Sus scrofa: one gene and its partners. The protein of the gene in region 2 interacts with the protein of the main gene of each other region in a pairwise test. Links are inferred from orthologs where the notes say so. Each region holds a gene or a part of one and is shown on either strand. Other genes may lie near its edges.

What was found.
Region 1: the proteins of NUDT3 (region 2) and RPLP1 interact in a two-hybrid assay, tested with the Homo sapiens proteins (2 studies listed by BioGRID and IntAct). The link is inferred for Sus scrofa from reciprocal best matches to the Homo sapiens genes NUDT3 and RPLP1.
Region 3: the proteins of NUDT3 (region 2) and ASB13 interact in a two-hybrid assay, tested with the Homo sapiens proteins (2 studies listed by BioGRID and IntAct). The link is inferred for Sus scrofa from reciprocal best matches to the Homo sapiens genes NUDT3 and ASB13.

The regions. Positions count from the first base shown.
Region 1 is NC_010443.5:167,292,341-167,302,686, reverse strand, and holds RPLP1 (60S acidic ribosomal protein P1), read right to left. Parts: upstream 6,604-10,346; 5' UTR 6,462-6,603; coding exon 6,390-6,461; intron 5,663-6,389; coding exon 5,588-5,662; intron 4,887-5,587; coding exon 4,769-4,886; intron 4,546-4,768; coding exon 4,466-4,545; 3' UTR 4,423-4,465; downstream 1-4,422. UniProt on the Homo sapiens protein: Plays an important role in the elongation step of protein synthesis.
Region 2 is NC_010449.5:30,345,661-30,355,560, forward strand, and holds part of NUDT3 (diphosphoinositol polyphosphate phosphohydrolase 1), read right to left. Parts: intron 5,808-9,900; coding exon 5,629-5,807; 3' UTR 1-5,628. UniProt on the Homo sapiens protein: Cleaves a beta-phosphate from the diphosphate groups in PP-InsP5 (diphosphoinositol pentakisphosphate) and [PP]2-InsP4 (bisdiphosphoinositol tetrakisphosphate), suggesting that it may play a role in signal transduction.
Region 3 is NC_010452.4:65,284,948-65,294,847, forward strand, and holds part of ASB13 (ankyrin repeat and SOCS box protein 13), read left to right. Parts: intron 1-1,389; exon of another isoform or gene 1,390-1,753; coding exon of another isoform or gene 1,754-2,287; intron 2,288-2,958; coding exon 2,959-3,082; intron 3,083-4,680; coding exon 4,681-4,868; intron 4,869-6,014; coding exon 6,015-6,165; intron 6,166-8,734; coding exon 8,735-8,869; exon of another isoform or gene 8,870-9,900. Other genes in the region: uncharacterized protein LOC106505208, read right to left, coding at 1,754-2,287. UniProt on the Homo sapiens protein: May be a substrate-recognition component of a SCF-like ECS (Elongin-Cullin-SOCS-box protein) E3 ubiquitin-protein ligase complex which mediates the ubiquitination and subsequent proteasomal degradation of target proteins.

The DNA of each region.
Region 1 (10,346 bases), on a different chromosome or scaffold from region 2:
TAAATAATACCTCAGTAAAATTGTATATATGTTTTTGAATGGATTCTTAATAAATGAAATTTCTGGGTAGAAGGTAAGGACACTTTTAATTCTGAGAGACAAAACCCAATTACACTCCTTAAGAAGTTGTAGTAATTGTCACTCAGAGCAATGGTCCATTTTCCAAGTGTTGGCAACATGGTTGTAATTCAATTGTTAAATCTTCCTTCAATATCTAAATTATTGATTACGGAGTTATTCGGTCATTCTTTCAAACAATGCTTATTAGGCACCTTCTAAATGTCAGGCACTGTGTGAGCAGCTGGGTTTGCTCTCATGCAGGAGTTCCCACCCCTAATCATCAGACTCCTCAGGAGAACTGGGGAAACTGTTTAGTTGTTTGTTTCATTCAGTTTTTGTGTTTTGTTTAACTGCTTCCCAGGTAACGCAGCTAATGACCAGTCAAAAGTAGAGCAGGAGTTCCCCTTGTGGCACAGCGGTAACCATGAGTATCCATGAGGATGTGGGTTCGATCCCTGGCCCCGCTCAGCGGATTAAGATTGTGTTTTGCCATGAGCTGTGGTGTAGGTGGTAGACTCGGCTGGGATCTGGCATTGATGTGCCTGTGGCCTAAGCTGGTGGCTGCAGCTCTGATTTGGCCGCTAGCCTGGGAACTTCCATATGCCCTGGAAAAAAAAAAAAAAGAGAGAGAGAGAGCAAATCTTCTCGCTTCTTTCACTGTGTTTAACGTTTTGTGGAAACCAGGGTCCTGGAAACAGGATCTGTTTACCTAGAGTAAAAGAACAGGGAACTAACTCTCCTGATCTTAAGGAGTAATGCCCAAATGCCAAAATCTATTGTTGCGCTGCGGGTTAAGGAGCCTAGACCCACAGTTGAGTTCAAATTAGATCCCTGGCCCCGAAAATTTCTGTATGCCCCCAGTGTGGGCCAAAAAAAAAAAAAACCCAAAACAAAACTCCTTGTGGCAGGAATGGGCTTATTAGTCCCAATTTACAAATATGCTCCATCCCATTTCTGTTGGGTAGTGAATGTGCAGGAATCTCCTGATCTAGAGGTTTCACAACAGATTAACTCCCTTGATCCACTAACCAGGGCAGGCCACCTCGAAACCGCCACCAAACCTGATTTTAAAACTTTTTACTAGAGGGACCGGTGATAATGGGCATGCGCAACAGCCGCTAAGCAGGCTCTTGCGCCCCTAGCGATCAATAGGCCTCAGTGCAATTGAGAAGTTCGGCTTCATTCGGCCACACTCGGCTTCTAGCCCCGCCTCCAGGTTCCGCCCCTTCCTCCCAGCCCTGGACGTTGATTGGCGAGACGTGGACTATAAGTACTTGAGCGCGGGCGTCTGAAGTATAGGCGTCAGTGCCAGGTGGAGAGCGGTGTTTTCTCGGTGTGTAAGGTTCAAGCGAACTGAGACCACTTCCACCCGGACGCCTGGACTCAGTTGCGAGCTTTCCTGCATAGCCTTCCTCATCGTAGGGAATATGGACGAGACAGGTCACCGTGCCCAGGAAGAGGGGCGGGTCAGGGGGCGCCATGCATTGCTTCGGCTACTCCATCTGCTAAGAATTCAGTGTTCATCAATAAGGCCTGGCTCGGGCATCCACCTGGGGTCCGACCCTAGCCTTGGGTCCCCAAAGCTGAGCCTTGCGGGTTTAGGATTACATAATGTGTAAACCTCAGAACTGCGTCTGCACTTCTGTTCTGTCCGTGGGTTCCCAACTCAAGGCCCGAACACCTACACCAGCACCTGGCCACCGGGAAGGTGCATACCAAGTGTGAATTGATTAAAAGGGGCTGGCAGTGGGGGCAGGCCTGCTGCAGTAGATAGTTGCTGGTCCAGACCTGGGTTCCAGTTGTGGTCCTGCCAGTCACTGCTGCTGAACAAGGTCCTTCTCCCGTTCCTCCTGTGTAAAAGACGGTTGGGCTCTGACAAATAGTAAATGCCAACAAGAGCCAAGTGTTGCCTTAAGTACTGGAGATGCAGATGAGCAACACAGACAGCCCGATCCCCCAACTCACTGTGTGGAGGGAGGAAGACAGTTGAACAAACTACCAGAAATTCACAATTACACGTTTACTTTGCAGTGGTATTCAGAGAACTTGGGCAGAGATTTAATATGTATAGCCTGGGGTGGGCTTCCTGTGGTGTAATAAGTAGAATTAACTGGGTTAAGTAGTCAATGGCCCAGGGATAGGTGGGGATAGTGAGTGCAAAGATCTGGAAGGTGAAAGACACACTTCTTACTTTAATTGGACATCAAAATAACTCTCAAAGTATACAAATAAGAGGACTGGAAGTGTCAGTAAGTTAAATTGAGTAGAACTTGGAGGATTCTTGGGAAGACCGTAACTATTTGAGCAATCCTGTGAAAATATGTGTGATGGTCCCTGACCCTGTGTCCTGACTTTAGGGTTCCAGATTGTTGAATTTGATGTCAACAGTCCAGTTACCATGATGTATGCTGTGTAGCGTTTGTTCTGACTTGAACGGGCATCTCCTGGCTGTTCCAGAACTAAAAACATCAATCTTCTCTTAAAGGCAGCCCTTGTCTATCTCTAGCTAGTGCCCAGGCTTGATTGCAAAGAAAAGGAACTGAGAAATGGCTTGCAAAGTGACAGAGAAGAAAAATAAAAGCATGTGTGTGGAAGAGATACCAGGTTTGGTAAAAGAAATGCTGGACTGAGACAGCTGAGGTGGCAGGCCCTGCCCTAGCTGTGTGAACTTGACAAGGCACCCAAACTCTACCAGGAACTGGGTCTTGATATAGAACAGGGCTACTTAAGTTCTCCTGACGTGTCAAGTTCAGAATGGAAGAATCTGTGAATGTTATTTTTAAACTATAAAGTGCCATCCAATCAAACCAATAGTTACCTAGCTCACACTGTTCCCTCAGAATTTTACTGTATATGCTCCTTCAAGTTATAGGAGAGAAAAAAAAAAAGAATTTGACACATTCTATTTGAATTTGTAGCAATTTATCCAGTTGTCTTATCACATAAATACTTTTAATTCGAAGTTCCCTTTGTGGCTCAGTGGTTAGTGAGCCTGACTATCATCCATGAGGACACGGGTTTGATCCCTGGCCTAGCCCAGTGGGTTAAGGATCTAGCATTGCTGTGAGCTGTGGTGTGGGCTGCAGATGCGCTCAGATCCCGTGTTGCTATGCCTGTGGTGTAGGCTGGCAGGTGTGGCTCTGATTGGACCCCTAGCCTGGGAATCTCCATATGACGCGGGTGCAACCCTAAAAAGACAGGAAAAAAAAAAAATTCTTTCACTTCAATTAGTTTTTCTCTTTCCCAAAAGGTGCTTTTAAAGCTTTACTTTTCACGTATGGATCACTCCCATTTTCAGGTGATAAGAACAAAAAAAAAACAAAAACAAAACAAAACACCAAACAACTGTGTAACAGTTTACAGGAGCGTCAAGTTTTTTTTCTTGTTTTTTAGGGCCACATTCACAGCATATTTAAGTTCCCAGGCTAGGGGTCAAATGGGAGCTACAGCAGCTGACCTACATCACAGCTCAAGGCAACGTCAGATCCTTAACCCACTGAGGGAGGCCAGGGATCCACCCTGAATCCTCCATGGATTTGGGTTTTAACCTGTTACTAAGAATTCCTCTGTAACTGTAATCTCCACTGATAATTTAGGACCATCTCTTTTGTTTGATAGAGATTTTTCACTGCTTTAAACATTCTGAGATGTCTCTTGATAGGTAGTTTCTGCTGGGCAATACTAATATGGGTTTGATTTTACAGGACACACCAGCCACTTGCCAAAGAGCTATAGGTAACAAATGGTCCCGTATATTGGAGTGAAGACAGTTGGGGCCAGAAAACCCTGCTTTTTGTGAACCCTTCAACTTCATGTCCTTATCAATAAATGCACAGAGGTAAGGGCAAGATGTTATAAATCCAAGTCCTAGGTTGGTCCCTGGCACTTTGAAAAGTGAACCAATTTACACTTGACATTGTTCTGTCACATCCTCCCCAAAAGCTATTCTACTTGTTAGCTTTTCAAAATACAGGTTTGAAATTTGGCTTCATTCACTTGGTATAACTGAGACCTTAACCTGAACTTCCCCCACTCCTTCAGTATTGTTGAACTAAACCCAAGGGATGTGACAATTAATATTCTAATTCATATTGCTCAGCACAGGTCAAAAATTTTTAGCCAGGATCACACTTGGAAATTATCCAAGGGGCTCTCTAAATCTGAGGTCTAGTGACTCTAACTCAGATTCAGGTATAGAGGATAAACTCTGTAATCATGAAGTCATGTGGGTAATGTGGACAATCTGAACCTTCTCCTGCCTCCCCATACAGTTTGTGATGCTGCAGAGTTTCTGCCATGGCAAAAGACAAAGCCAGTGGCTATCTTTACATAGCAACACCCCCAGAATTATCAAGACCAACATCAGTGAATAGCTCAGCTTTTTATTATCGAATGTTATAGAAGTTTAGTCAAAAAGACCAAAGCCCATATCATCATCAGACTCCTCAGATTCTTCTTTCTTTGCTTCTACTTTCTTCTCCTCAGCTAAAAAAATAAAAATAAAAAATAAAAAATTAATATAAAGTCAATTACCTCTCAAACTCCAGGCCTTTCAACTGACATGGTCAAAAATACCCTTAACTTCCCTTATCAAACTATGCCTCTGGATTTAGGATTTCTATATATCAGCTACTCTTAGCAAATGAAGAACAATTTTGCCCATAATACTCAATCTCCACACTCCTCCCTCCTGAAACAAGTTTCCTACCTGGGGCAGCAGTGGTGGCTGGGGCAGGACCTCCTGCTGGTGCAGCACCAGCTGCTGGGGCAGGTCCACCAGCCCCCACATTGCAGATGAGGCTCCCGATGTTGACATTGGCCAGAGCCTGCAACACATGCATATACAGGTTAATGTTCAGTTCTGTTCTTTTCTTATAGTACCCACCAGGGAAAAATGGAACTCCTTTTGAACTTAGTAATCAATCCCAACACTGTACCTATTTCTCTTTCTTCACCTTTGCTGGAATCTGCCAGTGACATTTTGTTTGCTACTTAGACAGGACAGCTATACTTTAATCAAGAGTCACTGAATTGCTTACTTTTATAGATGAAAAAACTGGCCCCAAAATACTTAACGAGTTGGAAGACACCCTAAGCTTCCTTAAAACACTCAAACTAGGAATTCTTTCCAAGTTCCTTGGGTAGGAATGCTGTACTCACTAGTCTTTAAGTATTCAGTAAAAGACCACCGCACCAATTTCTATGGTGGCAGTTTACTTGGAATAGCACAAATATTATTATCTCCTGGGTGATCCTTTTATGAAGGGATTATCTGCTTAGTACATATTCTATCGTGGTTTTATAACAGAAGAAAGTGAAGTCTGAGACCAGAAAATAAGACATGACACCAAAAACTTAATTAGCTCTTAGAGATAGAAATGTGAGGAAATACTGCCTATACTTGGACAAGTCCAGGGGAACATGGGGCCTCCTGGCACTCCTGGAGATTAAATTAATACCTGACTTAATAAATCAGTAAGTCTTCCAAAATTAGTTTCTCCAAATCATTCTGCCGCCATCACCTTACCTTTGCAAACAAGCCTGGCCAGAATGGCTCAACATTTACACCTGCTGCTTTAATGAGAGCATTGATCTTATCCTCCTAAAACAAATAAAATAACAATCCATCAGAGTAATGTATAGCTTCCATACATGTCTCCAAAATACTGCAAATTGAAAGCAAATGACTCAAAACCTGGGTACAAAACCAGTTTAACCAGTTCAAATATCCTACTGGCACTGCACCTAGGCTTAAGGCGACCGTTTTTTACACTCTTGTGAAGAATGTCACTAAGAAAAAAAAAAAAGAAAGAAAAAAGCCTCTGTTCCTGTATGCCAGATACTTTACTAGGCGGCGAGTCCATCCCTGCCATTTCCCAGGCTGGGTCTTGCTCAAGTCACGCAGCTATTTTAAGTCGCGAGGCAAGGCCAGAAGTGGAGCAGGGCTCGAGTGCTCCCCTCCACACCACGCGGCCAAGCCCCACAAGGCCTACTAACAGAACCACAGGCAAAGCAATCACACCAAGAAGAGGTATAAAAAGTCCTGGGATATAACAAGCTACAGATGAGCCTGCCGACGCGCTGCACAAGTTTCTCCAAATAAAGGTTCTCAAAGCCAGAGCGCGACGCCGAAAGTGAAATCCACTCCCTCCCGGGCCTGCACATGGCCGAGACCCAGGCCGCCCGGCACGTGCGCCCGATCCCTCCGGCCCTGTGCCGTGGTGTGGATAGCCGCGGCTCCAGCCCTAAGGGCCTGCCCGCGACGCCCTCGAGGGTGGGGAGCCGGCCACCCGTAGGCCGCCTCGCCGCCAGCCCAGGCCAACACTTACCGTGACCGTAACCTCATCGTCGTGCAGAATGAGGGCAGAGTAGATGCAGGCGAGCTCCGAGACGGAAGCCATGGTGCGGACCAATGCTAGGTGGGGGCTGCCAGGCGCGGTGCTAGTCGCCGGATGAAGTGAGGGCCTCACCCCAACGCGGCCTTAGCTTCCTCGGAAGAACCGAGCACCTTAGCGGCAGCTGAGGAAAGGGATTCCTCGCGCCTGCGCGCAGCCTCTTATACTGGTCACGAGGACCAATCGGCGCCCGCGCCTGCCGGAAGAGGCGGTGCTAGGACCTCCCGCTACAATTCACCCAAAACGCCTGCGCAAAAACATAAGTCGCTCATTTGCAAGTTCAGAAAGTTGCTAGGCAGCTGAAGATGCTAACTCGCTGGGTTTCGGTAAAAACTCAGGATTTGGGGACAGTAGAAATACTTTTAGGAGAAAGCTAGGTTAATAGGCATTAATCCTTTCTGCTACTTAAGCAGTCATTTAATGCCGTCGCCAGCGTCCCCACCAGCCGGCAGTGTCCAGCTGAAGGCGGGAGCTAGGTTTTAGCCTGGAGGTTCTGGGGCTTAGCGCAGTCTCGGATAAGATACTAAGGGAATGTACTCGAAAATGAGAAACCTGCAACGTTGCCGTAGCATTTGAGCGCCTACTATGTTCCAAGCACCGAACCACACTCTACCAGAATTCATTTAATCCTCACACAGCATAAAAGGTAAGTACTATTATCTCCATTTTGCAACTGGCAAAACTAAGGTGTAGGCTGGTAACACCTAAGATTCCGCAGTTACTGCGAACCTGAATTTGGAATCTGGGAACCTAACTTCAGTGCTTTCTACTTGTGCGTGCAGAGAGGAATGGGTTTGGGGATTATGAGTAAATTTTCTTTGTTTTTTCTTCCAAAGCATAAAAGGTATATTAGGAATATAGGGGAACTTTCCACTTCAACTTTATTTTTTGTGACTAAGGGACCCCATGATTGGGTGGAAATGCCTTGAAACTGCAGCTGCGATGTTAAAAAATTTCTTGAGTTAACTCCTCTCTGGCTAGGTGCTGTATTGCCGTTTTGTGTCTTTTGAAGCTAATAAAACTGGTGTTGGGTTCATACGGAGAGGTATGCTTTAAAATTTTTTAAATTGAGGTATAATTGACAGTTTCAGGTGTACAACATTAATTGATATTGTTTATATTGTAAAGTGATCACCAAGTCCTGTTAACATCCATTACCATACTTAGATTAAAAAAAATTTTTTCTTCGAATAGGACTCTTAAGGTCTACTCTCTTATCAACTTTTAAATATGATACAGTATTATTAACTGTACTCATGCTATACATTGCATTCTCATGCCTTATTTATTTTATAACTGGAAGATTGTAAATTTTGACCCCCTTCACCATTTTCACTCACCTCAGCATCCCCACTTCTGGCAACCACCAATCTGTTTCAGTAGCAATGGATTTGTTTGGGGGGGGTTGGGTTTTTTTAATTCCACGTATAGTATTTGTCTTTATATGACTCATTTCACTTAGCATAATGCCCTCAAGATGTATGTTGATATTTGTTGTCTCAAATGACAAGAGTTTATTCTTTTTATGGCTGAATAGTGTTCCATCACATTTTCTTTATCCACTCATCCATTGGTGGACAGACACTTGGGTTGTTTTCGCATCTTGGATATTGTAAATAATGCTGCAGTGAACATGGGGTGTAGGTATCTTTTCAAGTTGGTGTTTTTCGTGGATACATACTTGGAAATGGAATTTCTGGATCTTATAGTACTTCTACTTTTAATTTTTGGAGGAATCTCAATACTGTTTTCCATAATTCTTGCACCAATTTACATTCCCACCAACAGTATATAAGAGTTCCCATTTATCCACAGACTCACCAACACTTTTCTCTTCCTGATGATAGCCGTTCTAACAAGTGTGAGGTGACAGCTCATTCTGGTTTTTACTTGCATTTCCCCAATGATTAGTGATTTTGAGCACCTTTTTTTAATGAATTTTATTACATTTATAGTTTTGAGCACCTTTTAATGTTGGACATCTATATGTCTTCTTTGGAAAAATGTCAATTCAGTTCTGCCCATTTTTTAATTCTATTGTTTGGGGTTTTGCTATTGAGTTGTATTTTTTTTTTTTTGCATGCTCTGGATATCAACTCCTTATCAGATATATGATTTGCAGATATCTTCTCCCATTTGATATGCTGCCTTTTCATTTTGTTGCTGGTTTCCTTTGCTGTGCAAAAGCAGCTTACTAGTTTGATGTCTTTTTTTTTTTTTTTGTCTTTTTAGCTATTTCTTGGGCCGCTCCCACGGCATATGGAGGTTCCCAGGCTAGGGGTCGAATCGGAGCTGTAGCCCCTGGCCTATGCCAGAGCCACAGCAACGCGGGATCCGAGCCGCGTCTGCAGCCTACGCTGGATTGTTAACCCACTGAGCAAGGGCAGGGACCGAACCCGAAACCTCATGGTTCCTAGTCGGATTCGTTAACCACTGTGCCACGACGGGAACTCCTAATTTAATGTCTTTCTACCTATTTGTTTTTGTTTTGTTGCCTTCACTACTTTTGGAGTCAGATCCAAAAAGTCATCACCAATGGGAAGGAACTTACCGCCTAGGTTTTCCTTTAGGACTTTTATAGTTTGAGACCTTACATTTAATTCTTTAATCCATTTCAAGTTAAATTTGTGTCTATGATGTAATATAGTGGTTTGGTTCCATTCTTTTGCATGTGGCTGACCAGTTTCCCAACACCATTTGTTAAAGATACCATCCTTTCCTCATTGTATAGTTTTGGCTACTTTCTCAAAAATTAATTGACCATTTATGCATGAATTTCTTTCTTTCTTTCTTTCTTTCTTTCTTTCTTTCTTTCTTTGTCTTTTTTTGTCTTTTCTAGGGCCAAACCCACGGCATATGGAGGTTCCCAGCTAGGGGTCTAATTGGAGCTGTAGCTGCCAGCCTACACCACAGCCACAGCAATGTGGGATCCGAGCCTCATCTGCAACCTACACCACAGCTCACAACAACACTAGATCCTTATCCTGCCGTGTCCTTGATTTTTTTTTTTTTTTTTTTTTGGTCTTTTCTAGGGCCCCTCCCACAGCGTATGGTGGTTCCCAGGCTAGGGGACTAATTGGAGCTATAGCTGCCGGCCTACGCCACAGCCAGGGCAATGCGGGATCCTTAACCCTCTGAGCAAGGCCAGGGATTGAACCCACAACCTCATGGTTCCTAGTCGGATTCGTTAGCCACTGTGCCATGATGGGAACTCTGCATGAATTTATTTCTGGACTCTCTATTCTGTTCTATGGATCTGTGTTTGTTTTTATCCCAAACCATACTATACTGTTTGATTGCTATGGCTATATAATTCAGTTTGAAATCAGGTTTGTTGTTAAGATTACTTTGGCTATATTGTGGTACCACATAAATTTTAGGATTGTCCTATTTCTGTGAAAAATGCCATTGGAATTTTGACAGGAATTGCATTGAATCTGTAGATTGCTTGGGGTTATATGGACATTTTAACAGTATTCTTCGTCATGAGAATGGAATATATGTATCTCATCAGTATCTTTTTTTTTAGGATTTTATTTTTTCTATTATAGTTGATTTACAATGTTCTATCAATTTCTGCTGTATAGCAAAGTGACCCAGTTATACATATATATACATTCTTTTTCTCACATTATCCTCCATCATGTTCCATCACAAGACACTAGATGAAGTTCCCTGTGCTATGCAGCAGGACCTCATTGCTTATCTACCCCAAATGCAATAGTTAGCATCTACGAACCCCAAACTCTCTGTCTATCCCACTCCCCCGCACCTGGCAAGCACAAGTCTGTTCTCTACATCCATGAGTCTGCTTTTTTTTTTTTTGTAGATAGTTTCATTTGTGCCATGTATCAGATTCCAGATATAAGTGATATCATATGGTATTTGTCT
Region 2 (9,900 bases):
AACAGATACAAAACAGACCAAGGTTTAACCCTGAAATGCTGTTTGTTTGTTTTTTTTTTTCAGTGGGACAGTAATGAGGTGAAAGAGGATACCTATCTTCTATTGCAGCTTTAGGTTAGTATTTTCAATCTAGCACAAAAGTGTTCAGAAAGATAGGCTTACTTCTCGTACGGATTTATGGTCAATCTTAACTGGAAAAATGATTTCCTTAAGGTGAGGCACCCCACCCTACACTATGAAGAGGGGAGTACAGTCTCAAGGTCCAGTATTGAGATTGAGGCAGCTTGCTTTTCTCCTAAGGAGTTCCAAAGACTTTTAAGATTTTGATCTTAATGCCCGATTGGGACCTCAAACTCAGAAGAGCGATTTCACTGTATCGTTAAAATATTCTCTGAAAGGTGCACCCCACAGATGGTAAGCAATTTAGTTGGTAATTGTTCCAGAACCCAAATTTATGTTTCCCAATTCATAGATTAACAGAAACTTCACATCTGGCCTGGCTGCAGTGGGGAAAGGATGGGTAGCAGAGCAAAATGGTGATGAACCTGGAAAATGACAATGCTGCTGTTTCTGTATCTTTTAAAGCCCATCTTCAGGGGTTTAAATGCCTTTTTTGGTGTTCCAGTGGCCACTGTTTGGGGTTAGAATTGGGAATGTAAAGCAAAGGAAACCTAGAGTATTTAATTAAACAACTCATTGCTGGCGGAACAGAAGCAATGACTTGCCACCTTCTAGATATTAATCTTGCTTTTCCAGCCAAAAGCACTTCCTTCTCCAGCAGAGTCCCCCCTGGTGTGCTGACTTGTGAATTAAAGTGGCTTCCCTTTTCACTCCCCTAGCCAAATGGATGGGCTCATTTTCTAAGACAATCTCAAGCTCACCAAACCATCACTATAAACAAAGCTTTAGGGGAGAGAGATGCCTTTTCATCTGGAAAGCTTCATACTGCAGGGACAGAGAAAACCAGATCATGTGACGGCCAGCCTCTGCTCAAGGGATCTGTTCAAAGCAACACCAAATGGGATATTCTCCTCTCTCTAATTTTTAAGGGCACTAAGAGAATTGATTAACCTGAAGGTGAGAGGTATCATTTTTTCAGATGTCCTGATTAGGCTTCTCATATCCCTGAAAGGTTATCAGCTAAAGCAAAAATATTGTCAAAATGTGAAGCTGCCTTTTCAGAGGCCAGAGTCCTTTCAGAGGCTTCTGGCCTCCAAAGAAGAGTCTGCCTAAGCTCTCCAGGTTCCCAGGACCCCTGGTGACCTCAGTCAACCTGATGCAGTATCTTCTAACGAACTGCAATCAGTGGATAGCACTTCACGGTTACCTGAAGAAAGCAAATGTCTTACTGCTTTAGGTAACAAACAAGGTGACATGGAAAACACAGCTCTCCTGGAAGGTGGGGTCTCCGTCACCAGGCTCACTCCAAAGCACCGAGGCTGACTCTGGGGTGCTTTCTCCCATATTCCAGTTGAGGTGGGTGCCCTGATGACCAAGGCTAAGGCCACACTGCCAGCTGCACAGCCTTAGGGAGATAGGCTCCATCCTAGCCGGGCTCAGAAAAAACGACTGCCACCCTGCTGGACACTATGAACCACAAGGCCTCAGGTCTGACTTGGAATCTTCAAGAATGAGAACTAGAAGAGGCATTTGCATTATCTAATCATCATCAAATAATCTCTCCCCAGGGCTGCTTGGGTTGACTGTCTTGCATGTCTCCTATTTTTTTGTGAAATGCGGATGGGACCAGGATGAAGCTGTATTATCAGTCATAGCTAACTCTCATTTCTCTTAAAGCAAAAATTCATCCTACTATGGAGATTTCTCCAGGTATTTCTTCTAATTCTAAATCTACTCTCAACTCAACCAGGTCGGGCTTAGAGAATAATTCAGAAATCTAAAAATCATAAAGTCGTGGCAAAAATCACATTGTGGTTATCAAATCCTTCTTTTAAACTAAACTAAAAAAAAAGTGGCTCAGGCTAAGCTCTTTTAAAAAAAAAGATCAAAGTAGGGAGGCAACAAAGGTATTAACGCACAGCACTGAGACGGAAATGACAAATACATTAAGTTCAATGTGTGAAAAGCACACTCAGGTGCAACAGAAGACTGATGACTCGCTGGTGCAAGAGGTTTAGAATAAACCCCTGCACAGGGTATGGGAGGAGGAGAAAAGGGAGGGTGAAGGAGCAAGCAAAGTTCCATTGGGAACTTTTTCCTTCTAGAATTCTGAAAACAAAACGTGACCTTTTTTCTTCTAAGCAAGTCTAAGAGATTTTTACATGGGCCAACTCCTAATACCAAAACAGAGAACAGTTCTCTGCCATGAAGGAAGCTGACTATGTGGCAACGCGTGTGCAAAACTTCAAGCACTCTCTGAGGGCGGTGACCCGCTCTGCTCCCCGGAGGCCACGGGTAGTAGCAAGGCCTCAAGTGCCTCACTTTGCACAGGACTCGCAATGCAGCGCAGAGGGCAGAGGTCCTGCCGCCAGGCCAGCGTCCAGGCCTTCCTCAGCCTCCCAGGGGGTGATACTCCCACCCTCTTTGATCCCTCCAGATGGCCTCGGCTCAGACTCAGTGAGGGAACTCTCCGAGCAGGGCACAAAACAATCCATTCATTAACTTTTCCATCCGGTTATGTCTGCTATGAGAAAAATCAAGACTCCTGTGTCACGGACTGCACTGTTCTGAGAGCCTACCTAAAGATCTAAACCCTTGGAGCCCTTACCCACCCCCCACCTCCCAGTCCTGGTCCAACAAAAACAAAAACAAAAACAAAACAAAAAAAAACAAACAAAAAAAAAGAAAGGCATGATCTCACTAGTGTTTCCCAAAGGGCTGTAATTTATAAACTAAAAACAAATTTTAATTAAAAAAGAAATCCACAGCTCTCTTTCTCTATCCTGAGTATGGTGCACTTTGAAGGACACTCCGGTAACAACCAAGAATCTACGACATGCAAATTCACTGTGGGAAAGACTTTATATCTGCCCTGAACACAGGAACCTGCTTCTGTCAAGCCCAAATAAAATGAGTACTTACAGGATTAATGGCAAATCAGTGTCACTGGAATATTCTGCAAGCAGGGTAAACTTTGTGCTTTCTTTTGTCTCTCCTCACTCTCTCCAGGGGAGAGAGAAAGGTTGCTGCAATCACGGGTCTAAGCAATCTACCCCGGAAAGTGGTGCCTGCTACGCCAGTAAAGACAGCCATGGTGTTTATGGTGCCAGGGAGGGAAAACACCAACCCCTGCTCCTCAGGATCCCAGTGCAACAGAAAACAGCACCAGTTTCAACAATTCTAGTGTTGGACAAAGCCTTCTTTTGTCAGTTAGGAAAGCATCAGCACAATCTCTCCAGTAACCGCATTAATGGGATCCATTCACGTCACTAAAAAATACTTCTTGGCACAGTTCACTTTCCTGACCCAAAGACGCCAACAACAATCCAAACTGGATTCTGTAGGGTGGTATACTGTTACACCAGCCCAGTGAAAACATCTTCAGATCATTAAAAAAATGCACAAACTATTATTAACACTGCAATTCCTATTTCAGGACCACTGACTATTTTCCTGCAAAGCACTTTCAATCCATATCACAAAGGAAGAATTTATTTGGAAGAATGTGTTTTTGGGGATTGCATTTAGTGCTCAGTTGAATTTATTTTATTTTCTTCTTTATTTGGCCAGAACCTCAGAATGCCCTACATCAGGTAATAAGCAGCAGTGTGTTCGTTTTAAAGTAGGACATGGGAACAGTGAGCTGGCCTTTAGACTCAAATCCCATGGTGCTATCTATCCACTGGGACCCTTCCTTGGGAGCAAAATTTCATTCCCAGAGGTAGAGCGGTGTCCTAAGGAAACTGCTGGCCCTGTTTCTGGCTCCGTGTTTCAAGACTAGGAAAGAAGATGCAAACTGAGAGCAGAGAGCAAAAATTAAAAAGTTCATCGACTGATGTCCCCCAAAATGCTGAACGTTAAATGACACAGGCCTACCACATACATACATTTTAGTGGGAGGGAAGAGCAAAAGGTTTTCAAAGTCTGAGTATTTATTAGAATTTTTAAATAAAGAGAACTACGATTTTAATTTCACATCTTGGCTATGTTCTGACAAAGGAGGTGCCACTAAGAGTATAGCAACAAACTCCTGTCCCCAGCCAGGGACCGATCAGTGCCCCCCTCCCGCACCCGCCCCACCCCAAGACCCTTTTCTGCATATTTTTCAACTAAACAACACAACTGGCAAATGAAACCAGCATCAAACCTGTAGCAAAAACCAACAAGACAGTCTGCAGTGAGCCAATGCACTATGTAGCTGTTCTGGAAAGGGATTAAGCCTCCTCCCATACCACTTCTCAGTGGAGGACGGACCTTTCACATCCCAGGGGGGAGACAAATTTACTATTTCTGAGCATGCTCCATGGTGCAATTACAAGTGTTGTATACCTGACAAAGGCAAGCAAAGACCTGAATTCTCCTCCTGTGTACTCCTTAGGAACTTAACACGGTTACTCAGAATGCGGACGGGACTGCACAGCTGCACTCACCAGGTACAGCCGGATGCTTCGGAGCACAAGGACAACATCCAGTTCAGCACGATGTAAGGCATGTATGTACAAGGAGAGAGGCCGCTGTCAGCGGTAAGTAGCATTATGGAAAAAATTCCAAACCAGCAGGATAGAAACAGTGCTCGATGCTCCAGTTTTTTAGATAGTAATTCCAAGAATCCAGTTCAAATCCCTATGGTTAACACGTAGGGAGGAATACAATTTCTATCATTGTTTCTCCAGATCTGAGCTGAGGCTTCGGAATAAAAAAGAAAATGGGTTTCTTCCTGTTTCTTTCTTGGCGTGGAAACAGCGTCGGGAAGAGAAGGCCATGAGTCCTGGGAGCACCTACATGAAGGTAGCGAAGCTCTCCCTGCACCCACATAACTACGGCCAAGGCCGGGGGAAAAACAGAGGGCGGGGAAACTCACCTAGCCACTAGCATCAAAAACAAAAAAGGTGAATTAATTGTGAGGCTCTCCAGAAACACCCCAAATGTAAAAAACAAAACCTTTAAGAAGTAAACAGTTAAATTCCCTTCCTACAAGCCATTTATTTACATATTATATGCCCAGTATATAATGTGTAGATAAATGTATCCTGCAGTGAAAGTGACCAACCTACCAGACTTAAGAGCACATTATAGGACAAATTCTTGAAAGGTTTCATCTCATATTGGTATCTTTTAATAAAAAAAAAAAAAAAAAATTAAAAATCAAAGAAAAATATCTGGCCAGGATTGGAATGAGGCAAACAGGAACACTTCAGAATCCAAGGCAGAAGGAAGGCTGTTTGCCTCTTCAGAGGATTGAAGGGGTGTGGAAAGGGAGACAGATCATGCACAAAAGTACTTACAAATTACATACCCAACCCCCACCCCCTCAATAAAAAGAGAAGAAAAAGCCCGATCACTTAACACCAAACAGCAACGTTATCAATAAACCCTTTCTCTGCTGCCCATCATGCCTTATTTGAAAGAGGAGGCCTGTGAGGAGAGGTGAAAAGAGCAAGGGTGAGAGGGAAGATCTGCACTTCAGTCTAGTTTCCAATTTCCATTTCTCTTACAGGAAGTCTTCAGTCATCTAATGCCTGGCATCGAGCTCTGAGCAGACACTGAGTACGTGGTGGCCACGACCGGGGTGCCGTTGTTGGCTGAGTAGCCTTGCCTCAACGTTTCAAAATACGACGCCTGCACCGGTTTGTGATACTGCAACACTTTTATGGCATCTTCTATTTTAAACCATTCCCTCTTCCTTCCTGTGGAGGCAGCGAGAAAAAGAAGTTAGTACAAAAGGGAAGCAGTGAGGGAGTTCCCCTTGTGGCACAGCGGAAACGAACCTGACTAGCATCCATGAGGTCTTGGGTTTGATCCCTGGACTTGCTCAGCAGGTCGGGCATCAAGAGTTGCTGTGAGCTGTGGTGTAGGTCACAGATGCCGCTCAGATGCCGGATCCCATGTTGCTGTGGCTGTGGTGTAGGCCAGCAGCTGTAGCTCCAATTTGACCCTTTGCCTGGGAACTTCCATATGCCGAGGGCGTGGCCCTATTTAAGGAAGGGAAAAAAAAAAAAAAAAAAAAAAAAGAAGGGAAGTAGTAAAAGGGTTCTGATCTGATAACACCCCCCCCCCGCCCCCCGCTTTTTAAGGCCACACTCTGCATGCGGAGGTTCCCAGGCTGGGAGTCTAATGAGAGCTACAGCTGCTAGCCTACACCACAGCCACAGCAACTTGGGATCTGAGCCGCATTTGCGACCTATACCACAGCTCATGGCAACACCGGATCCTTAACCCACTGAGCGAGGCCAGGGTTCAAACCTGTGTCCTCATGGATGCTAGTCAGGTTTGCTAACAGCTGAACCACTATGGGAACTCCTCTCTTTTTGATTTTATTTTTATTATTATTTTGTCTTTTTGTCTTTTTAGGGCCACACCTGCAACATGTGGAGGTTCCCAGGCTAGGAGTCGAATAAGAGCTGTAACTGCTGACCTACACCACAGCCACAGCAATGTCAGATCCGAGCTGCATCTTCGACCCACACCACGGCTCACAGCAACACCAGGTCCTCAACCCACTGATCAAGGTCAGAGATGGAACCCGCAACCTCACGGTTCCTAGTCGGATTCATTTCCACTGCACCATGATGGGAACTTCCTCGACTTTAAATTGAAGTATAACTGACCAACAACACTGTTAATTCTAGGTGTATAACATAATGATTTGATATTTCTCTAAATTACAAAATGATCACTATGATTAACATTTAAAAAATATGCATTATAAATACATTTTTCCTTATGTTCTTTTCTTACAAGAGTGATGCAAGCACAGTTTTTTTTTTTTTTTTTTTTTTTTTGGTCTGTTTAGGGCCACACCACAGCTTATGGAAGTTCCCAGGCTAAGGGCCGAATCGGAGCTGCAGCTGCTGGCCTACACCACAGCCACAGCAATATGGGATCCGAGCCGCCTCTGCAACCTACACCACAGTTCATGCAACACCAGATCCTTAACCCACTGAGCGAGGCCAGGCATCAAACCTGCATCCTCATGAATACTAGTCAGATTCATTCCCGCTGAGCCACGACAGGAACTCCTATTTTCCAGTATATTTAAAAAATGTTTTTCAAACGTATGCTTTAAAATCCTTTATTATTTTTTCTCTTACAAAAGTAATAAAAGAACATAGGTTAAAATTGAGAAAACAGGGAAAAAAGGTGTAAAGAATAAGATAATTACCTGTAATCTTATAAACCAGAATACCTTAGTGTATTTGCCTTTCTTTCATTTTACTTGAAGACACAGTAAATCAACAACTATGACTAGGATCATGCTGTAAGGTGCTCCACATCCTCGGAGGCTCTGCTGATGGAGTGTTGGTGCCCGAAACATGGACACTGAAGCCAATATGCTGGGCTCCGATCATATCACTAGATCTAATGAACTGTGTAGCTTTGGGCAAGTTACTGAACCTCTCTGTGCTTCACTTTCCTCATCTAAAAATAGAGATAATTATTTCTATCTTGTGAGATAGGACCTATCTCACAGAACTGTTGTGAGAGCTAATATGTAAAGCATTTGAGGAGTTCCCGTCGTGGCGCAGCAGAAATGAATCTGACTAGGAACCATGAGGTTGCGGTTCGATCCCTGGCCTTGCTCAGAGGGTTAAGGATCTGGCGTTGCTGTGAGCTGTGGTGTAGGTGGCAGACGTGGCTCGGATCCTGCGTTGTTGTGCAGCTGTAGCTCTGACTGGACCCCTAGCCTAGAAACCTCCATATGCTGCGGGTGCAGCCCTAAAAATAAATAAAGAAAGCAAGCAAGCATTTGAATAACACCAGGCACAGAGTACAAGCTGTAAGAGTTTGCTTTATTATTATTACTGTTATTGCTTCTTTTCTCCTTCACACTGTTCCTCAGGCATTTTCTATGTTGTGAGAGTATGACATTTAATAGCTGCATTACATCATAATATCTAGCGTGGATGTTATGTCATTCACTTAACTATTTCCCTATCACTGGAAATCTATAGCCTGCAACTTTAGTTATTATTTTTTTTTAAAGCTCTCAGGGAAAGATCCCTAGAACTGAGATTATAAGAAAAAAACATCTGAACACTCTAGGGCTTGTACATAAACTGCCAAACTGCTTTCCAGAAAGGATCTCCAATCCTGACTGTGTGTGTTGAAATGTAGGTCTCACCACACTCCTGCCAGCCCTGTTAATTTTCATTTGTCATGGCCACTTCTTTCTTTCTTTCTTTCTTTCTTTCTTTTTTAGGGCTGCAGGTATGACATATGGAAGTTCCCAGGCTAGGGGTCCAACTGGAGCTACAGCTGCCAACCTACACCACAGCCACAGCAACACAGGATCCAAGCTACATCTGCGACTGATACCACATCTTATGGCAATGCCAATCCTTAACCCACTAAGCAAGGCCAGGGATCAAACCTGTATCCTCCTACTGGTAGTGATTGTTACTGCCACAACGGGAGCTCCCACTGTCATGGCCAATTAGTTATGTGAAAATCAATACCTCATCTTTGTTTCACTTCAAATTTCTATTCTGATGAGCTTTAAGTAACGTATATATAATTCTATACGCTGTCTTCATTCACCAACACAATTGCATAAGCTCTTTCCCATGGTATAGCGCTTTCATAAGTATGTATTTAATAGCTGCATAACATTCCATCAGGTAAATGGAACTTAGATCACTTATTTCGCTGAGATGTACATTTAGGACCCAATTTCTCATCTGAAAAAGGCTTATCTGAAGGAAGGCTCACAGGCTTATTCCCCATATTTTAGAATATTTCATTAGGGTCAATTCTCAGAAGTGGGAGTTCAGGCGAAAGGCTTGTTTGGATATTAAAAGAGTAATGGTACCTTAAAAATTAGTATCACAAGTGTGTGACTCCTGCCTGAAAGAGCACTCTGAGGACAGGACCATGCCACACTCATCTCTGTCACTTTTTCAGGCCCCAGTACCAGCTGTCAAGGAGTCTATTTTTAATACCCTCACTGAATTTATTTATACTTAAGCTTACTGCATTCTTAGCAAATACAAAGCAATTAAGAGCTGAAGGGCTAGGAAATAACCAGATCAACAGAGAGAGGCATGGTGGCAAAGCACATACTAACAATAAAGGGAGAGGTTGGGCAAGTGAATTACATCTGTCTGCCAATTTATAACATCAATTAAATATCACACCTTTCTAGAATATACTTTCCTTCAGAGCCAACAGATTAAACTATGAGCCAACCACTAAATCACAATTTCTGCCCAAAAGACAAAATATACATACCACATGTGATCCGAGATCAAAGAAAACAGCTCCTTGGGAGTTTCTGTCGTGGCTCAGCAGAAACGGATCTGACTAGTATCCAGGAGGATGCAGCTTCCACCCCTGGCCTTGCTCAGTGAGTTAGGATCTAGCGTTGCATAGGTGGTGGATGCGGCTCGGATCCCATGTAGGCTGGTGGCTACACCTTCAACTAGACTAGACCCCTAGCCTGGAGACTTCCACATGCCACGGGTGCAGCCCCTTCCAAAAAAGAAAAAGGCTCCTTGGGAGAAAGCTGGGTGCATCTGAGGGGTAAAATGAATACAGCTGGAAACTACTCCCACTGCTCTGTACCCGCTATGCAGCTCTGGAGGGATGGGCTATACCACCAGACCAAGAGTTTTCTCCAACAATATGAATAAGCATAACAAGGAACAGCCAAGGTTCTGCTCTCACTTGGGGTTGGTGGCCAGTGGGGAGCCCAGCATTGTGGAGGCCTTGAACAGTTTCTGCTCAGGAGGACCCAATTTATTATTTTTATTATTATTTGTCCTTTCTAGGGCCGCTCCTGCG
Region 3 (9,900 bases), on a different chromosome or scaffold from region 2:
ACAGTAGCCACCCTAGTGGGTGCGAGGTGCTTTCTCACTGTGGTTTTGATTTGTGTTTCTCTAAAGATTAGTGATGTTGAGCATCTTTTCACGTAGCTGTTGGCCATTTATATCCCTTCTTTAAGGAAATATCTATTGAGGTCCTTCGTTCATTTTTTAATTGGGTTATTTATGTTGTTGAGTTGTAGGTGCTCTTTATATATTCTGGTACATGTGATTTTCAAATATTTCCTCCCACTCTCTAGGTGCCTTTTCACTGTCAACTGTGTTCCTTGATGCACAGAAATTCTCTCCTTTATTCTCACATCTGCTGCTGCTGACCTCTGTCCTCAGCTGCTGCTAAAACAACTGCAGCTGATGTTTATTCATTAGAAAATATAATTCCCAGTAAGTTACGCTTCCTCTATGGACTGGTCATAATGGAATGAAATAAGATTTTCTTTAAAACATTTTACATCCAGGCTTTATAATTCATATTAATAATCCCTTCCATCCACTCGTCCCTTATTCATTCAACAAACAAATGATCTGAGCACATTTGCCAGGCCGCACGCTGTGGCAGGTGCTGGGAACAGAGGCGAGCAAACCACGCCCAGCAAGTCACTGCAGCCCTGCCTGTCCTGTCACGCTTTCCTGATGGGCCCGGCCAAGGACGGGTCTTGCTTCTAAGATCCTGTAACTTGGCGTGTTCCTCCAGTGTTACAGTTGCGTTGTTTTGAATTATTTGCCCACCCCCACCCATGGCCGTGAACTGCTCCTTGTCCCATCCAGTTGTCCTTGTGCACAACGGCGGCGGCGGCGGCAGCAGTGGCTGCTGAATGGATGCTGAGGGGAAACGCCCAGCCCGGGCCCCCTCCTTCCTGCGGATGCTGGGTTTGCCCTGTTCTCCTCTTTGTAGGGCTGGAGGCGCTCCATCTGCCCTTGGGGCTTTGCTCCCCTCGGACTGACCTTAAAGCCACTTTCCACTCCCTCCCCCCACCCCACCCCCAGGCCGGAGGGCAGCTGTTCATCACTACAGGGGAGACACCCTAGGTCCTCTCCTTGGGGCAGCAAACAGGAGGTGCCCCAAGCTTGGCTTCTACATTCTGTGGGAGTCAGACCTTCCTCCACCTCGAGTCCTCCCTTCAGCTCCCTGGCCCGTGACCCCCCCCCCATGGGGTCACACAGATGGTACAACAAGGGGCAAAAAAGACCCCAGATAGACCCCACTTCCTGAGTTTGTGCTGGCCTGATGCTTAGTGCCTTTAATTTGATTTTTTTTTTTTTAGGGCCACACCTGCAGCACATGGAGGTTCCTAGGCTAGGAGTTGAATCGGAGCTACAGCTGCTAGCCTACACAATCGCCACAGCAACACGGGATCCGAGCCGCATCTGTGACCCCCATCACAGCTCACAGTAACACTGGATCCTTAAGCCACTGAGCGAGGCCAGGGATTGAACCCACGTCCTCATAGATAACTAGTTGGGTTCTTGACCTGCTGAGCCATGACAGGAACTCCCACTGAATTTCCATAACCCGGTGGTGAATGAACGGTATCACTATCCCACTTCACACGCTAGTTCTCGCCCAAGCTGAGACATGGCTGCGCTGGTTCTCGGACCCGAGCCGGCTGGCCCTGGAGGACCCTGAGCCCCACACCACTCCGCTCCCCTGCAGGCTGGGCGGCTGCGGGATGGCTGGGGGGACGGGGTCTCAGGAGGGACCGACATCCACACGGAACCCAGGAGGCTATCAACCGCCCAGGAAATAAATTCACCCGGGACAAGGTTCACACAGCGCTGTGGCTAAGACCTGGGACCTCTGGCCGAGGGGAAGGAGTTTGAGCGACAGGGACATAGAATGCAGCACTAATACAAGGAAAGGCGTATCCTGAGAGGGGTGTGTTGTGATGCCGTCTGGGGGGCCTTGCCGGGAAGGATGTGTCAGCATAGCCCGGCTCTGCTGCCACTTACGGCGTTTGAAGGGTGCCAGGAAGGCTGCCCTGCAGCCCAGCTGCTCTGACAGGGGCTGAGACGTTCGCTGTGCAAATGTAGTTTGGGTTCGGGGAGTCTGCACGCGGGGTTCGTGCGCACCTGGCCGAGCCGGTGAAGGAACCTCAAGCTCGCAGCACAGGGAGCCAGGGCTCGGGGCTCCGGGCCCCAGGGGCAGTGACTCACCTGGTGCTTCTCGTCTGTCTTCAGGTCCCAGCTCAACTCCCGGCCCCATCCGGGGAGGCGGGAAGGCTGTGTCCAGCCGGGAGCCCCTCAGCACTCGCCCCACGTATTCGCTGGCCTTGGGTCCGACGTTCTACGGGAAATGGGAATCTGTGATCAGCTTAGGCTGCTGGTCTGGGTGGGTGGGTGGCTCTGGGAACCCCGACAGTGACCACTCTCTAGTCCACTTCCGCCGTGCGGTGGGCAGCAGGTGTGGACTGTGGCACAGTAGGGCCTGGTGGGGACAAACGGCGGCCCCTCGGGGCACAGACGATGGTCGAACTCAGCGTGGGCAGGGCTGAGATGGGGCAAGGCTGTCTGCAAAACTGACTAGATTTCAGCCAGGAAAGGAACAAGTAGGTGTTATTTAGGACGAGAGGGAGGGGGACAAGGGGGATGGGGAGAGAGGCCAGAGGTGGGGAGGAGGGATGTCTGAAGCCATGGTTCTCAAAGTGTGGTTCCCAGACCGGCTGCATCAGCATCGTCTGGGCGCTTGTTAGAAATTCACATGCCTCACACCTGTCAGAATGGCCATCGTTAGAAAGTCTACAAATGACACGTGCTGGAGGGGGTGTGCAGCAAGGGGAACCCGCTGCACTGCTGGTGGGAATGTAAATTGGTACAATCACTGTGGAAAACAGCATGGAGGTTCCTGAGAAAACTATATATAGAACGACCGTACGACCCCGCAGTCCCACTCATGGGCATATATCCGGACAAAACTTTCTTTGAAAACGACACATGCCCCCTGCATGTTCGTTGCAGCACTATTCACAACAGCCAAGACATGGAAACAACCCAAATGTCCATCGACACACGACTGGATTAGGAAGATGTGGTGTATACACACATGTCCTCCGGGGCTTTTCCCTGCGCAAACACATCCCTGGTATGTGCCCCGATCTCTTCTCATAAGGACACTGGTCAGACTGGATTAGCGCCCAACCTGATGGGCCTGGCTCTAACTTAATTACTTTTGTGAAGGTCCCATCTCCAAATACAGCCACATTTTGAGATGTTTGGGGTTAGGGCTTCAACATGGGAATTTTGGCCGGGGGAGGGGCGGGAGGAGACGCAGTTCGGTTCATAACCAACTGTATGCCGACAAATTAGATAAAGTAGATGAAGTGGACAAATTCCTAAAAAGACACCACGAGCTACCCAAACTGACTCAAAAAACAAAGAAAAAATTAGAACGTCTGGGAGGACGTGTAACAAATGAAGAGCTTGGATTAGTAATTTAAAAACCTAAAAGAAAGCCCAGGCCCACTCAGATGAATTTGACCCAAGAGTTAAAGATTTAATACCAGTTCTTCATAAACTCTTCCAAAAATTCGAGACTACTTCCCAACTCATTCTCTGAGGCCAGTATTACACGGATACCCAAACTGGACACATACAAAAACCACAGGAAAAATGACCCTTAGGAATATAGACTCAGAAATCCTCAAAATATGCACAAACCGAATCTAGCATCACATGAAAAGATTATACACCATAACCAGGTGGAATTTCTCCCAGGACTGCACAGTAGGTTTAACATCTGAAAATCAACCCGTGCAGTACACCCCTGAGATAGAATTAGTGAAAGAAAGCGGGCACAATCATTGCAATAGATGCAGAGAAAAGTACTTAACGAAATCCAACACCCTCTCATGATGAAAACACTCAACACACGAGACACTGGAGAACTTCTTTGGCCTGATAAAGGGCTCTGTGAAAACCCACAGCTCACAAGACGCTTCGTGGTGAAGGAATGAAAGCTTTTGTTCCAGGACCAGGAACAAGGCCAGGAGGTGCCTCCCAGCCCTGCCACTCCATGTAGGGCTGGACATTCAAGCCAAGCAATTAGGCAAGAAAAAAAAAAAAAAGGCACACAGATTAGAAAGGCGGATGCCTCTGTATTGATTTACATACAGACAACACGATTTTGTAGGTAGAAAATCCCGCGAGTCTGCTAAAATTGGATAACTAACCCAAGCCCCTACTTGCAAGGTTCTCCCAGGCCAGGAGGCGGGGCCGTGTAAATGCCAAGGGCTGTTCCCAGAGGCGATGTTTCAAATGGGCCCATGCGGACTCTGTACCATCTAAACAGGAGACTGCAGGATGGCTGGCTGGGTGGGGGCAAAGGTGGGCTCCTCAGGCAGAGAGAACATATGCAGAGAGGCAGGTGTGTGTGTGTGCGGGAAACCACACTGAGCTAGCGGTGTGGCTGGAGAGGGGGCTGCGGGAGGCAGTGGCGGGTGGGAGACCAGTCAAGGAGGCGAGCGAAGTCCAGACCACGAAGCACCATCTAGACCTTGCTGGAAGGTTGGACGCCACCCCAGGCACTGGGGGTCCCTCAAGAATGTGAGTAGGGGTATTGGGGCCAATCCCACGATCACGTGTACAGTGGCTTGGGTTTCGTGCAGGGTCCCTGGGGTACGCACGTCCTTCTGCCCTGGGCAGACGGGGCAGGGCCTGAGTGCTAGGTTTTCTCCTTTCCAGGCTTCTGGGTGGAGCGCACCCCCGTGCACGAGGCGGCCCAGCGGGGGGAGACGCGTCAGCTGCAGCAGCTGATCGAGAGCGGCGCCTGCGTCAACCAGGTCACCGTGGACTCCATCACGCCCCTGCACGCGGCCAGCCTGCAGGGCCAGGCGCAGTGCGTGCAGCTGCTGCTGGCTGCCGGGGCCCAGGTGAGCCACCCTGAGACCCCAAGCCCCAGGATGGGCTGGACAGACCAGCTCCAGAGGCCTTCGAAGAGCATTCTGTTATGCAAACACACAGAAAGAAAGGAGACCACTAGAGGAGGCTGGGAAGGGGCAGGGGGAAAGGAAATCAGAGTAGGCTGCAGTGGGTGCCCAGGCAGGAGGGAGGGCCGGCCCATCTTTATGGCAGCCTTGCGCGGAGGATGCTCATGGACCTGGCTGTTGGGAGGTCACTGGTGGCGAGAGAGGGATGGTTTAGCAACATGGTGGCGTGCTCTGCATGCCCGTGGGCCGGGCAGGCCGTGGACACAGGCAGGCTGCCTGCAGGCCTGGCAGGGCCTTGGCTGCAGGAGCTGTCTGGCCTCCGAGATGAGGCTAAGTGGGATGCTGGCACGCCAGCTCTGGGACGGAAGGTAAGAGGCCCAAGAGCAAGATCTCTATTTGCTGCTTGCCCTGGCGTAGCTGCCAAACCCCAGCCCATCTGGCGCTCTGGCCGTATCCGGCTGATGGAATTGCTGGGAATTTAACAGTGGGCTGGGTGAACTGGTCGGAGCTGGCCTGGCTTGCCCACCCCTGGACAGAGATGGGGGCAGAAGAAGGATGGTTGTCCACTATTACTTTTCCAGAACTTGGCTATCAAGGCCGTTCCAGACGGGGCAAACAACCTTCAACACAAACCCAAATGACAGCTGAATCTGGACCAATTCTAAGCAGAACCTGCCAGTTTAGGGAGTTGCCTTTTTCCTGCCCTGTGGTTTTCCTACTAGAGGAGGCCTGTTAAACAGTTTTGGGGCCTCCTCCTGGCGAAGGCTGGAGTGAAAACCCCTTTTCACATCCCGCCAGGGCTCACTGGGAGTTGGGGTGGTGTCTGGAGCGAGGCTGAGTCAGTCTAACCCGGGACAGAAAAAAAAGCCCAAACAGCAGGCCCGCTGCACCTGCGTGGCCTGTAGGCACCGCCTGCTTCCTGTCTCTGAACGGCCTTGCCTGGCTCGGTGCCCCAGCAAATGACGGAGAACCCAAGAACTTCTTGGAAAAATGACCCAGCGTGTTTGCAGAGTTGATGGTACATTGGGTGGAGGACGCTAGCAGCCTGCGCCCTCCCCCACCCTGACGCTGGATTCTGCCTCGACGCAGGTGGATGCCCGCAACATTGACGGCAGCACCCCGCTCTGTGACGCCTGCGCCTCAGGCAGCGTGGAGTGCGTGAAACTGCTGCTCTCCTACGGGGCCAAGGTCAACCCCCCCCTCTACACGGCGTCCCCGCTCCACGAGGCCTGCATGAGCGGTGAGTCGGGGGGCAGTGCGGGCTGGAGGGGCCACCATCGCTGGTGATGGGCTCCCAGGCCGTATGTGGCTCTTGGATCCTAGGCGTTTTGTCCTGGAGACGCTGTCCTCGGGCAGGGCTGGGGGCTGGGAGCTGGAGGCAGGGCTCCAGTTCCAGCCGAGTCACTGCCTTTCGAGATGCCACCCCTGGAGGCAGGTCCCCTCTGTGCCCCTCACCCGGCGCTGCTGACCTCCTGCCCTGCGGCCCCATCTCTTGGGAGAGGCAGTCCAGGCGCATCCCCGAGGGAGGCGGGTGCTCTCAGAGCAGCGGGGAGCTGGTCCCTGAAGCTCAGGGAGCAGGTGGGTTTCCAGCGCCCTCCGAGAGTGGAGGTTGAGGCCACCCCAGTCTTGCTGGGTCACAAGGGCCCCAGAGAGGGGCTACAGCAGGTAGAACCCAGCATTTGGGGTGAAACCAGCTGGTGCCATGTTTCAGATGACAGACTAGGGAGTTTGGGTTCCACTGTTTGGAGCAAGGGCTGCATGCTTGTGTCCTGGGCTTTGGCTGGCACGGTGTTCGCTCTGGCTGCATTTGTTGGGGTGTGGGCCCCACGCAGGCCCACTGTCCCTGCTGCCTGCACCCCCGTTCCCACAGTTAGGTCACCTTTGTCACCCGCAGGCACTGGGGATCACTACGGGCAGCTTTGAAGGTTTTTGCGCAGATGCTGAATGATGACAGCAAAACCACCTTTTGGAAAGGTCTGTCTAGTGGCCATCCACATACAGGCAGGGGAGGGAAGTTTGTTTTTTCTTCCTTCACCTGCCTTAGGTTCATTGGCCAGGGCCCTGCCTGTTAGACTGACAAGGATCAATTAATAAAAGACAAACAAACAAAAAAAAATTCGAGTTCCCATGTCACGGCGCAGCAGAAACGAATCCGACTAGGAACCATGAGGTTGCAGGTTCAATCCCTGGCCTTGCTCAGTGGGTTAAGGATCCGACATTGCCGGGAGCTGTGGTGTAGGTCACAGACGTGGCTGGGATCTGCTGTTGCTATGACTGTGGTGTAGGATGGCAGCTGTAGCTCCAATTAGACCCCCAGCCTGGGAACCTCCATATGCCTCGGGTACGGCCCTGAAAAGACAAAAGGCAAAAAAAAAAAAAAAAAAAAAAAAAGATGAACAAGCAAAAGTGGGTTTGTGTGTGCCCTGCACACCCACACAGGAGAGCCAAGGCAAAGGGTGGTTAGAACTTGGGTTCATATGGCACCCCCCTTTTTTTGGCTGCACCCAAAGCACACAAAAATTCCCAGGGCACAGCTGTAATCAGAGCTGCAGCACAGACAACGCCAGATCCTTATGCTGCTGAGCCACGGGGGAGTTCCTCCTGCGAAGATGAATGTAGTATCTTAACAAAGAGCAGTGACAGGACCAAGAAAAGGACTGAGCTTCTGGAGCTGGCAAGCTGTGGGAAGGCAAATACACAGGGGAACCACTGGGACGGAAAGCCTGTCAGTAAGGTTTGCTGTGTAGACGCCTCAGTGGTGGCTCCGGCTGATCAGGGTTCAGAGCCGTCCTCGTGATTAGCTTCTGTCCTTCCTGGCAGAGAGGGGAGGGGACCCTTCCCACATTTACCTTTGTCCTACTTTTGGGCGAAGCGGGGAGGGCAGAGAGTTAGTCTTCCACTGGCTTCTTCATCTGTCTTCGGCTCACAAGGATCCCCATGCCAAAGGGGCATATCGGGGGGGGGGACCTCTGCACCTTTCCATGAAATGGTGGGGGGACGCACCTCGGAAGTGAGATGTGTTGGGGGCTGTCACTGCACAAAGCTTGTGGAGCCCAAGAGGGATGGGTTCGCCTGGAGCGCTTTGGGGGAAGAACATGAGGATTTGACGTAAAGGAGAGGAGAGCACGGGGTCAAGGCCGACTCACTTGTGGTGGTGGAGACGTCCACACATGGGAATGAATGGCAGGCGCCAGGCCAGAGAGGTGGGGCTGGGTTTTTGGGCTGGAGACTCAGGAACCAACCACCGAGCATGACCAGGGGACGAGATGACAGAGCTTGGGAGGGAGTAGAGCCGGAGACAGACCCCAGCCCCACCCGTAGACCCAGCCCCAGCCCCTGTTAGAGATGCTGCAGCAGATCCAGGAAACAACCTGGAAAGCTGTCCACTGGGGGGGAAGGGGGACACGAGGTGGGGAGTTTAGGGAAGTTCATCCTGACTGCAGCTTGGGGGGCAGCCAGAGGTGGGGAGCCCCTTCTCTCCCCCCGAGGGCTGAGGGGCAGTGAGAAGTCTTCCCTGTGTCCACACTGGTACCCCAACTTTCAGCTGGGGCCTGGCCGTGCCCATCCTTCCTCTGTTTCTCATGCCGGGTGGGCTTCAGGGCCCCCTCTGAGCTCCCCAGGGGAGGCACCCACCCCCTGCTCACCAGGGCCACCTGGGGCCTGGGCAGCTCCTGGCTGGGGAGTCGTCCCACTCCCCCCTCTCCCACTGCCGCCTAGCTGGGGGCTTACCTGTCCCAGCGCCTGTCTGCCACGCTTATTTCAAATGTGTGTGACTCTGACACCTTTCTCCTGGCTCCATCTCTTTTAAGGAAGTTCTGAGTGTGTGAGGCTTCTTATCGACGTTGGGGCCAATCTGGAAGCGCACGACTGCCACTTCGGGACCCCGCTGCACGTCGCCTGCGCCCGCGAGCATCTGGACTGCGTCAAAGTGCTTCTCAACGCAGGTGCGTTCTGTTCATACCTGCTTTGCCCAGCGCAGGTGCGCAGTGTTTATACCCGCTCTGCTCACGGCAGGTGTGTTGGGTTTAGCTCGTCCATTCCGGGGCAACTCAGGAAAAAACCCAAACGGTTCAGAAAGAGAAAAAAAGATGAATTCTCTCCAGGTGACAGCCTTTTGAGCATAAGTTATACGTAGTTTTCTCCTAGTGAGTCTCACTCACTTTAATGCACCACTTCTAAGGCTTTTTGGAGAACACAATTTGCTCTGCATAGGGTTGGTCCCTGGAGTGGTTTTTGTTTCTTATGCAAAGATAAGATATCTGGATTAGAAGCGGCTGCAGGCCTTCCAGCCGGGCTGGTCGTGGGGTGGCTGGATCCAGTTTCTGTCGGGCATCTGCGGTTAGGGTTCCGCGCTCTGCAGGGCGTTTTCCTCTGGCTCCTTTCTTGTGGGTGGAGGAGGGCATCGAGTCGGGGTTTGACCTTTGTGCTTCCTGAGGACCCCTCGGTAAGCAGACTCCTTTGGAAGCAGAAGGAAACCAGCTGAGACCGAAAGCGTCAGAACTAGAGCAGGTTTCAGGGTCATTCCGACCCCGGATTCAGCCGTGTCCTCAAGAACTCGCCCCCTTTGAAGTTCATGGGTCTGCCTTGCTCCCCCTTCCCTCCATCCTAGGCCGGCATCCCTACTGGGGAGAAATGGGCTGAGCAGAGGGGGCTTCCCTGCAGGCATTGGCCTTGGGAGCCTTCTGACTGCGTCCTCATCCCGGGAGAGTGACCTGCTCTCACAGCTTCCTGTGTCCACTGGCCCCAACTGGGTTTGTGTCCAGTCCTCTCCCAGTCCTTTCGGCCAGACTTGGCCACAGGCTGATCTGCTGGGATCCGCACAGGAAGTTCTGAACCCAACTCAAATATTGTGCCGAGGGAACGTTTTAGCTCGGCCACCTCGTTCATTCTGAGCAGCCTGGGAGAAAACCCACATGGTTCAGAAACAGAAAGAGGACCCCTTCCCAGGACCCCTGCCCCAGGCCGCAGAATGGGA